Linked DNA regions of Cricetulus griseus. The protein of the gene in region 2 interacts with the protein of the main gene of each other region in a biochemical or structural test. Links are inferred from orthologs where the notes say so. Each region holds a gene or a part of one and is shown on either strand. Other genes may lie near its edges.

What was found.
Region 1: the proteins of Slc9a3r2 (region 2) and Slc26a3 form a complex in vitro, tested with the Homo sapiens proteins (2 studies listed by BioGRID and IntAct, with this or other methods). The link is inferred for Cricetulus griseus from reciprocal best matches to the Homo sapiens genes NHERF2 and SLC26A3.

The regions. Positions count from the first base shown.
Region 1 is NC_048598.1:168,963,394-168,967,727, reverse strand, and holds the start of Slc26a3 (chloride anion exchanger), read right to left. Parts: upstream 2,853-4,334; coding exon 2,722-2,852; intron 2,242-2,721; coding exon 2,102-2,241; intron 1-2,101. UniProt on the Homo sapiens protein: Mediates chloride-bicarbonate exchange with a chloride bicarbonate stoichiometry of 2:1 in the intestinal epithelia. Plays a role in the chloride and bicarbonate homeostasis during sperm epididymal maturation and capacitation.
Region 2 is NC_048600.1:44,234,672-44,238,810, reverse strand, and holds the start of Slc9a3r2 (Na(+)/H(+) exchange regulatory cofactor NHE-RF2), read left to right. Parts: upstream 1-1,338; 5' UTR 1,339-1,521; coding exon 1,522-1,734; intron 1,735-3,978; coding exon 3,979-4,139.

The DNA.
Region 1 (4,334 bases), on a different chromosome or scaffold from region 2:
CAAAGATATAGATACAAGAAGTAAAACTAACATTGTTAGAAGAACACACGAGTATGAATCTTAGAAATCTTGGATCAGCAACAGTCTCTCAGAAGGGCACAAGCAATCAAAGACTTGAAAGTAAAAATGCTTCAGTTGCAACATGGGTCAATGAAGAGTACCTGCCTAACATGTGGGATGCTCTGGGTTTAATCACAGCATGGGAAAAACAAAAGCACACTCAAGGCACACTATTAGCAAAGTGAGCTTTAATCAGAGGATTTAGCCCAGTAATAGAGCACTTGCCTAGCATGCAGGAGGCCTTAGTTTGTCTCCCCAGTACCGCAAAATAAGGATGTTTAGGGAACTGGGCTATAGCTCAATGGGAGTATATTTGCCCTGGGCTTAATCCACTCTCCCCTAATCACATTAAAGACACAGGAAATGGCCACAATGGGTCATCTTTTAGGCCAGGCATGGTGACACATGCTTGTAATCTTAGCATTTGGGAGGTGGAGGAGGATCAGGAGTTTGAGGCCAGCCAAGGCTACATGAGACCATGTTTCAACCTCCCTTCCTCTCTTGAGTTTTAAAAACAGAAAGTGAAATGACAACACAGAGAGTGAAAACAGCTGTTGCATATATATATATATATATATATATATATATAATATATATATATATATATCAGATAAAGGTCAGAAATATACAAGTAACCCTTGCAACTCAACAGTGTTCCATAGCTCATGGTGGCCTCACATATGCTATCTAGTTTATGCCTCCTGCCTCTGCCTCCTGGGTGCTGGGATGGCAGGCATGGACACCTGAGTCATATTGTTCTGGCAATGGAACCGAGGGCTTTGGGCATGATGGGCAATCACTCTACTCATGGAGCCACATTTCCAGCCTGGCAACCCGCACTTTTAAAACAGCCAAGAAGAACTAGGGGTCTAGTTCAGTCATAAGGTACTTGCTTGGTATGTGTCAGGCCCTCCAGCACCACCCGAACAAACAAAACAAAAGATGAAGGATTTGGAAACGTAGTTTTCCAAAGACACGCAAAAGGGTAATAAGCACAAGAAAAGAGCAGATACTTAACCAAACATCATTAGCTAATAGAGAAATATAATCAAAGCCACAAGGTGCCACTTCTCACCCACTGTGATGGCGAAGATAAAAAGATAGCAAGCAATAAGGTGGAGCAGCATCTGAAGCTACAAGCACTGCTGGGAAGAATGGAAATGAAACAACATCTCTACAAGTAATTACACATTGAGCTACCACAGGACCCAGCACTTATACTCCTATGGATGTATCCAGACAATTTAAACATATTTTTAGATGAAGAGTTGTACGCAAATGTTCATAAAAGTTTATTCATCATCACCTCTGAATAGAAATGACTCAAATGTTCAATGAAATGTGGTACATGCAGTAGAATATTGTCCTTGTTACAATATGAATAAACTGGATAGCATTATGCTAATAGAAAAGAATCAGACACATACAATTCCATCTGCACGGAATATCCAGAATAGGAAAATCCATAGATACAGAAAGTGTTAAAGCGATGAGTGGAGGGAAGAGTGTGATGTGTCTATCAAAAGGTAAAGGCTTTGGTGTGTGTGTGAAGGGGTAGGGAGGAGAGAAGGTGGTGAAAATATGCTAGAATTAGTGATGCTAGATGTGCAACCTGATGGATATGCTAAAAACCATAGAACTATACATATCAAAAGTGAGGCTGGGCATTTAACATGTTGGTAGAATGCAAGCCTTGCTCTAGCGCGCGCGCGCGCGCACACACACACACACACACACACACACACACACACACACACACACAGAAGAATTATAAGGGTGAATCTTTTTGTTTTTGTTTTTCAAGACAGGGTTTCTCTGTATTGCTTTGGAGGCTGTCCTGGCACTCGCTCTGTAGACCAGGCTGGTCTCAAACTCACAGAGATCCACCTGCCTCTGCCTCCCGAGTGCTGGCATTAAAGGTGTGGACCACTACCGTCCGGCATAAGGGTGAATCATAAGATTCAATGTTAATTGAATAAGACATGTTAATTACATCTTTAATATAAAAGAAAAGGTAAAAGAGAAAAAAGGGAGGAAATACCTTGTAGTACAGCCACCAGTCCCGTGCTGATGCCAGAAACGATGTCACTCAAAAGCCATTCCTTTATCTTGTATGCTGGCAACCAAGATGCTATGGGGAACAAAGACAGGGCGATTTTCTTGGCCCTTTGTGAGGAGCAGCTGAAAACATTGAAAGTACAGATTAGTGAATTAATATCAAACTTTAAGTTTGGTGTCTAAAACTAGGTAGAAAATTGGCAAAGCTGACATTATTTCAAAGATGAAACTGGCAATTTCACTCCCACTAACAATAGCCTCTTTGCCCCTGCCAAAAGCTTTGGTCACTACCAAAGAAACTTTTTAAAAAGGAAAATGCCAGCTTTTCTTTGGCTGAAACAGAACTGTATAGCATTTCAATTGAGAATTTGCCTGTTTCCATCTGTTAGTCTCTGACTTGGAAGCACTGTGTTTGTGCCGCTAGCTGAGATGGTGTGTTCTTTTTGCCTTTTCACCTCAGGCAGTGAATAAAAGGCTTGGAAAGCCAAGACTGACAGATTCCCGGACCTATGGACTCGAGCCAGAAGAAAAAGCATGAAAGCTAGAAAATTTAGGAGAAATTGCTTGTTTCTTCCTCATTCCAGTACCGTAAGAATCTCTTACCTACAACACCCTTTGAGATGATCCAGGAATGTCTTGTGGTGTCTGTGCGTCTTCTTGAACTCCTCTCCAAAAGTGTTTGTGGAATACACTGGTCTGGCCACTATGTACTGATTCCCTATGGCTTCAATCATTTTGCTTTCCCTGGTGACAGTGGCAAGTAGGAAGACCTTTGAAACTATGTAGTGAACACTTCTTCTTGCCGTTAGCAGGTTAAAATGTCTGAAACCAAACAGAGCTTGCTTCTTAAATAACTCAGAGATAATGTGATGCAATTTACAGATGAGTGAGCTCCGAACTGAATGTTACCACCTTTTGAGATCAAAAGAGGCAGGATTAAGGGACCTAGGTCACATTTTGCCATGTGATACCACTTTTCCTTCAAAAAGCTGACACAGCTCCTTTGGGTAAGTAAGCATGGATTTCTTATTTTTATTTTCATTTTGGAGACAGTGTCTCACTATGTAATAATCCTGGTTGGCTTGGAAGTTGGTATGGGGACCAGGCTCATCTTGAACTCATAGAGATCCACTTACTTCTGCCCTCCAAATGCTGGGGTTCAAGGTGCACAACCAAAAAGCAATTCATTAAGTTGGTTTACATACTAAACAGTTTTTGAGAGTTGATCTCACCCTTTTTTTTTCTAGAGGTATTTCCAAAGATCCAGTACTGGAACAGTGGGACAGACTCAAAGCCTATTCATTTCCCTTTAATTCTAATCAAGTTCATCCTAATTTACACATCAGAGTCTTGTTTTTTATAAGACCTCAAAAATGGTTTAATTTGTGAAAATCAAATATAATTTCCATTTGTATTCCTATGATTCCTGGGAGTCAAAGAACTATGTACAGACAAAGTATGCCTTTGTTTACATAGTTCATGAATGACAAGGTCCTTTCTAAGGAAAGACTGTGGGTTACCGACTTAACCTTTTTGAACTTCTGTTATATATTGAGACAATGATACCTATGTTTAAAAGATTGAAGATTGAGAATGTTCAAAAGTTTCAAAACGTCTATGATGTATCTGACATGCTTCAGGGGTTCACCACTCCACAGTTATTATTCTAACAGCTAATGTTTTCTGGGGCTGGGGATATATCTCAGTGTGAAACACCTGCATATATGTGGCCACAGGCTCAATCCCTAGTACCACAAAATACACAGATAAGTGAATCAATCAATAATAAAATAACATTTTCTATGTAAGTCAGTGGTTCTTAACCTGTGGGTCGGGACTTCTTTGTCAAAACTCTATCTCCAAAAATATTTATATTATGATTCATATCAGTAGCAAAATTACAGTTAGGAAATAACAATGAAATAATTTTTGGTTAGAGGGTCATCACAACATGAGGAACTGTATTAAAGGGTCTCAGTATTAGGAAAGTTGAAAAACACTGATATAAGTACAAAAATTTGTGTTAATGTCTCTGTTTCTATAAGTTAAGAAGATCAATTTATAAAACCTCTTATGTACATTATCAGTTTACTACTCACAATTATTTGAGGCATTAACTATTATTATTACCCTCATCCTGCAAATGAGAAAATATGTACACTCTCACCTACCACAATCTAAGTGTCTTTTCTTCATGTAGCTAATTAAGTCAATCA
Region 2 (4,139 bases):
CTGGACCCAGAGAAACCAACCCTAAAACAGACAAACCCTGGGTAAGGCAGGCCGACCGATGGAGATGGTCAGCTGGGCCAGAGCCTATGGCAGCATCATCCAGAATCTGCAGAGAGGGTTGGGGGCAGGGAGCAACAATGTATCTTCAGCCTAAGTGCCTTTCAGGGGCAGCCACTAGGGTGTGGGTACCCAAGGGGCTGCTGCCTATGATTTTGCTCAGAGGCGGTCCTGGTGCTTGGGTGGAGGTGGAGAGCTCCAGCTAAGGGCTCCGGAAAGAGGAGAGGGAGAGGCAAACACTGAACTAGGGCTGCATCTCCTATCCACATGGGGAATTGTATGAACTGGCTATACCTGATCCAGGGGGACCAGGTAAGTGAGGAGCAGTGGGCTGGGGAGAAGCAGACTGTAGGTGAGCCTGGATCTCAGCTGCCATATGTGCCTGAGAATATACTTGCAGGTCAAAGTGCAGTCTCACAGTACTAGGCTCCAAAAAAGGTTCAGAACCTCCCTTTGCCAGGCCTCGGTTTCCTGATCTGTAAAATGGCCTCTTTCCTCCGGGGTTGTTCTGAGGGTAACTGTATAGGAATATGCATAAGTGATTCTCTGAGGGACTGCTGTCCCGCAGGTGAGAACTTACACAAGTGTAAAAGTAAGAGTTTATGGGGGATAGAGGATGGGAGACCTGTGGGGTTTAATATGGGACAGCTGGTCACCACCTAGAGCTCAGGAGCCAAAGTTCATCCTTAGCAGAGATCATACCAGGTCAAGAGGAAGGCAGCAAATACCCTTGCATCTCTGCCAGATAAACTCATGTTCCCGAAAAGCAGGGACTATGGGTTCAGGATGTTTAGTGAACAAACACTTCCTGGGAGGGGCAGGGGGTCACCTAGTCACTGGCATGTCTCTTTAAATTTGTATTTTGCCTGTTGCACTCTGTGTTGGGGATCTAAATTCAGAGGGCAAAGAGGGAGCGGCCAGAGCAATCCCGGTGCGGTGCGTAGAGGTGTATTCCGAGGAGGGAGAGCAGCGGCCCCTGTTCTTGCCCTCTGGTCTCTGTGTAGGGGTCCTTTCTCTAAGCTCCCTATTTCAGGAACCTCTTCAATGTAGGGAATGTAGGGTATGCAGGTGTCTATGAGTGGTTCCTGGAACAGAGGGCGAAGGTGCTTCGGAGGGTGGCCAAAATGGGATGACATAGGAGTCCCAGGGCTCGGGGTTGTGACCCTGCAATCTTCGCTCCATGGTCTGGGCTCCCAGGCAGGGGCCTAGCTAGCGGGGCTTGGGCTAGGGCGGGGGCAGCCAGGAGGGCGGGGAAGGGGCGGGCGCGGGGGCGGCGCGCTGCAGCAGGAGCAGGAGCAGGGGCCAGGGCCAGAGCCGAAGCCGGAGCCCGAGGCGACGCGAGCTGAGCGGGAGCCACAGAGGCCGCTGCCTGCTCTCCCGCCCGCGCCTCCGCCGCCTCCGCGCTCCAGCCTGCGGGGGTGTGAGCCGTGGCCAGTCGCGGCCAGCCAGGGGGCAGCGGGTGCCATGGCCGCGCAGGAGTCGCTGCGGCCCCGCCTGTGTCGCCTGGTGCGCGGCGAGCAAGGCTACGGCTTCCACCTGCATGGCGAGAAGGGCCGCCGTGGCCAGTTCATCCGGCGCGTGGAGCCAGGCTCCCCAGCCGAGGCGGCCGCGCTGCGCGCCGGGGACCGCCTGGTTGAGGTCAACGGCGTCAACGTAGAGGGCGAGACGCATCACCAGGTGGGTCCCTGCGCTGCGCCCCGCCCCCCGGCACCCTCCTGGGGGCGCGTCCCTACAGCGCTGGCCAAGATGCCAACAACCCCCACTTCTGCGTGCCACATGGTGGGACCCGGCCAGGGTCGCACAGGGGCCTGCCTGGGTTCGGTGTTGAGGTGTGGGACGTGGCCGGCCAGCTGGCCTCCTGGTGAGGAAGCTCAGTCCTGCACTAGCGGGGGAGGGAGGACATCCTGGTAGGGAGGGGCCGCACTGCGGCTACTCTGGCCAGGGCCCTGGCTGCTTCTGCTAGTTTTGGCCTCTGTGTGCCATGGAGGGGGAGGAGGTGGCTAAGGCACCTTGTGGCCTTGTGGTACAGATGCTTTTCTGTCAATGTGTGAGTGCTTGCAGGTCTCTCTGGGGTCATCCATATGAACACACTACCCAACTGTTCCAGGATGAAAGCATTCAGTGTCAGTGCTGGAATGTGTGTCTAGGGTTGGGTGGATACATCAAACATGTATGCCAGCTGTGTGTGTGTGTGTATGTGTGTGTCCGTCCATCTGTCTGTCTGCATGATTGGATATACTGGTGTACTTCTCTCATGGGCCCTTATGTCTGGGTCTGGCAGTCAGCACCATGGCAGTATACTTCCTTGGTGTCAGAAACAGCCTCCTCCTGAGAGGCTGCCTGGCCCTCCCTGTATAGGTCACTGTTCAGCTCTTGCCTTCTGTAGCCAGAGGAAGGCTGTTCTCTCCTCAGGTTTTACCTCTGGGTGTCTGTATCCTGCTGAGGGGTAGACACACCTCAGACCTTGGCTAGGGCCCAGACTTCTTCCACCATTTCTGCCTGGATCCCTGGTACCAGCATGTCCATGACCTACCTGTGTGGTTAGTCTTGGAGCCTGGAGAAGGCAGGGTGGTACTTCACTGGGCCATGAGGGAATTCCTGTCTCCCTCAGGAACCTGCTTTCTACCTACAGTGACCACTGGATTTGGTTGTGTGATGAAGAGTTTGGGATGGAGCCCAAAGGTTGGCCCACAAGGCAAGGTAGAGACCTGCAGGGTTGGTGTCATCTGCCTCTAGCAGTTACTGGAATCCACCTGTTTATCGCAGGTTTCTGGGGTGCTAGTCCCTACAGACTTTCACGCAGAGCCACATTCGATCCTTTCTCCTGCTCAGGAAGATAGGAGGTAAAACCATGACTCCTATTTTACTGACTGGCTCCGTTCCCATGCCAAAAGGTGTCAGGGTGCTGGGATCCTGTTCTATTGGTCACAGGGAGAGAGGATGGTCATGGAGGGGCCAGGTGAAGGTGGCTGTGGGTCAGACCTTCCTATCTGTGATAGGATAGCATGTACTAAGTGAAGTAATGATGGGGATTCCGTCTCTTCAGCCGCAGGCCTTGGTGCAGTTGTTAATGCTTCCTGCCCTTCAGATGTCCGGTGGGCATGTCTCCCTTTGAACTCAAACTAACATCCTGCATGATCCATGGTAGCCCACATGCTCTCCACACTTCACAGGCACCCATCCAGATACACAGATGGCTGTCAAGCCACACCTCTTACACTGTTGTATCTGCTACTGTTCGCCTTACCTGCTGGAGTGGGATCCTGCTTACCTGATATTTCTGGCACCTTAGGTAGAATCTCTAGTTCTTCACCCCTTTGCAGGTGCAGCAAGAATGGGTTTCTAGTCCTGGTCTGGAGGCAAATTGGAGTTCTAGAGATTTCTGGGTGTTAGATTCACACTGCATCTCAGAGAAAGAAATAAACCCAAATACTCACATTGGGGCCATGTAGCCCTCTCCTACACCTAGGCGGAAAGACAGACTTTAAAATAGATGCACATACAGACACACACACACACACAAAAGCACACACATACAGATAAGCATGCACACACACATGCATAGACTAGACTGAAATCCTGAAGCTCAACTCAATCGTTTCTGACTCTTCCATCTGGCTGCTCCTGGCATCTCCTTCCTGTCCTTACCTGAGCTTGGTGCAATGCCACAAGAGGATCCTGAAGTACTTGCAGCCTGGGCCCTAGCTCAGGGAGAAGAGGGAGGGAGCTACTGGAAACTGGGGGTGGGGGGTGGAGCTCGCAGGCCTCTCAGTCCAGCTGCCCACCCCTGGCAGGCCAACCCCTGCCTGCTGTCTGTGAGTCGTGCTTTGCCAAGAGTGGCGCCCTTTCGAAGTGGTGCCCTATCCATGTGTTGCCCAGCGTGTTGGCTGCTGATCTAGTCCTGCTACCCACCCATTCCAGGTGGTACAGAGGATCAAGGCTGTGGAGGGGCACACTCAGCTGCTTGTGGTGGACAAGGAGACAGATGAGGAACTCTGCCGGCGGCAACTGACCTGCACTGAGGAGATGGCCCATCGAGGGCTTCCACCAGCCCACAACCCCTGGGAGCCAAAGCACGACTG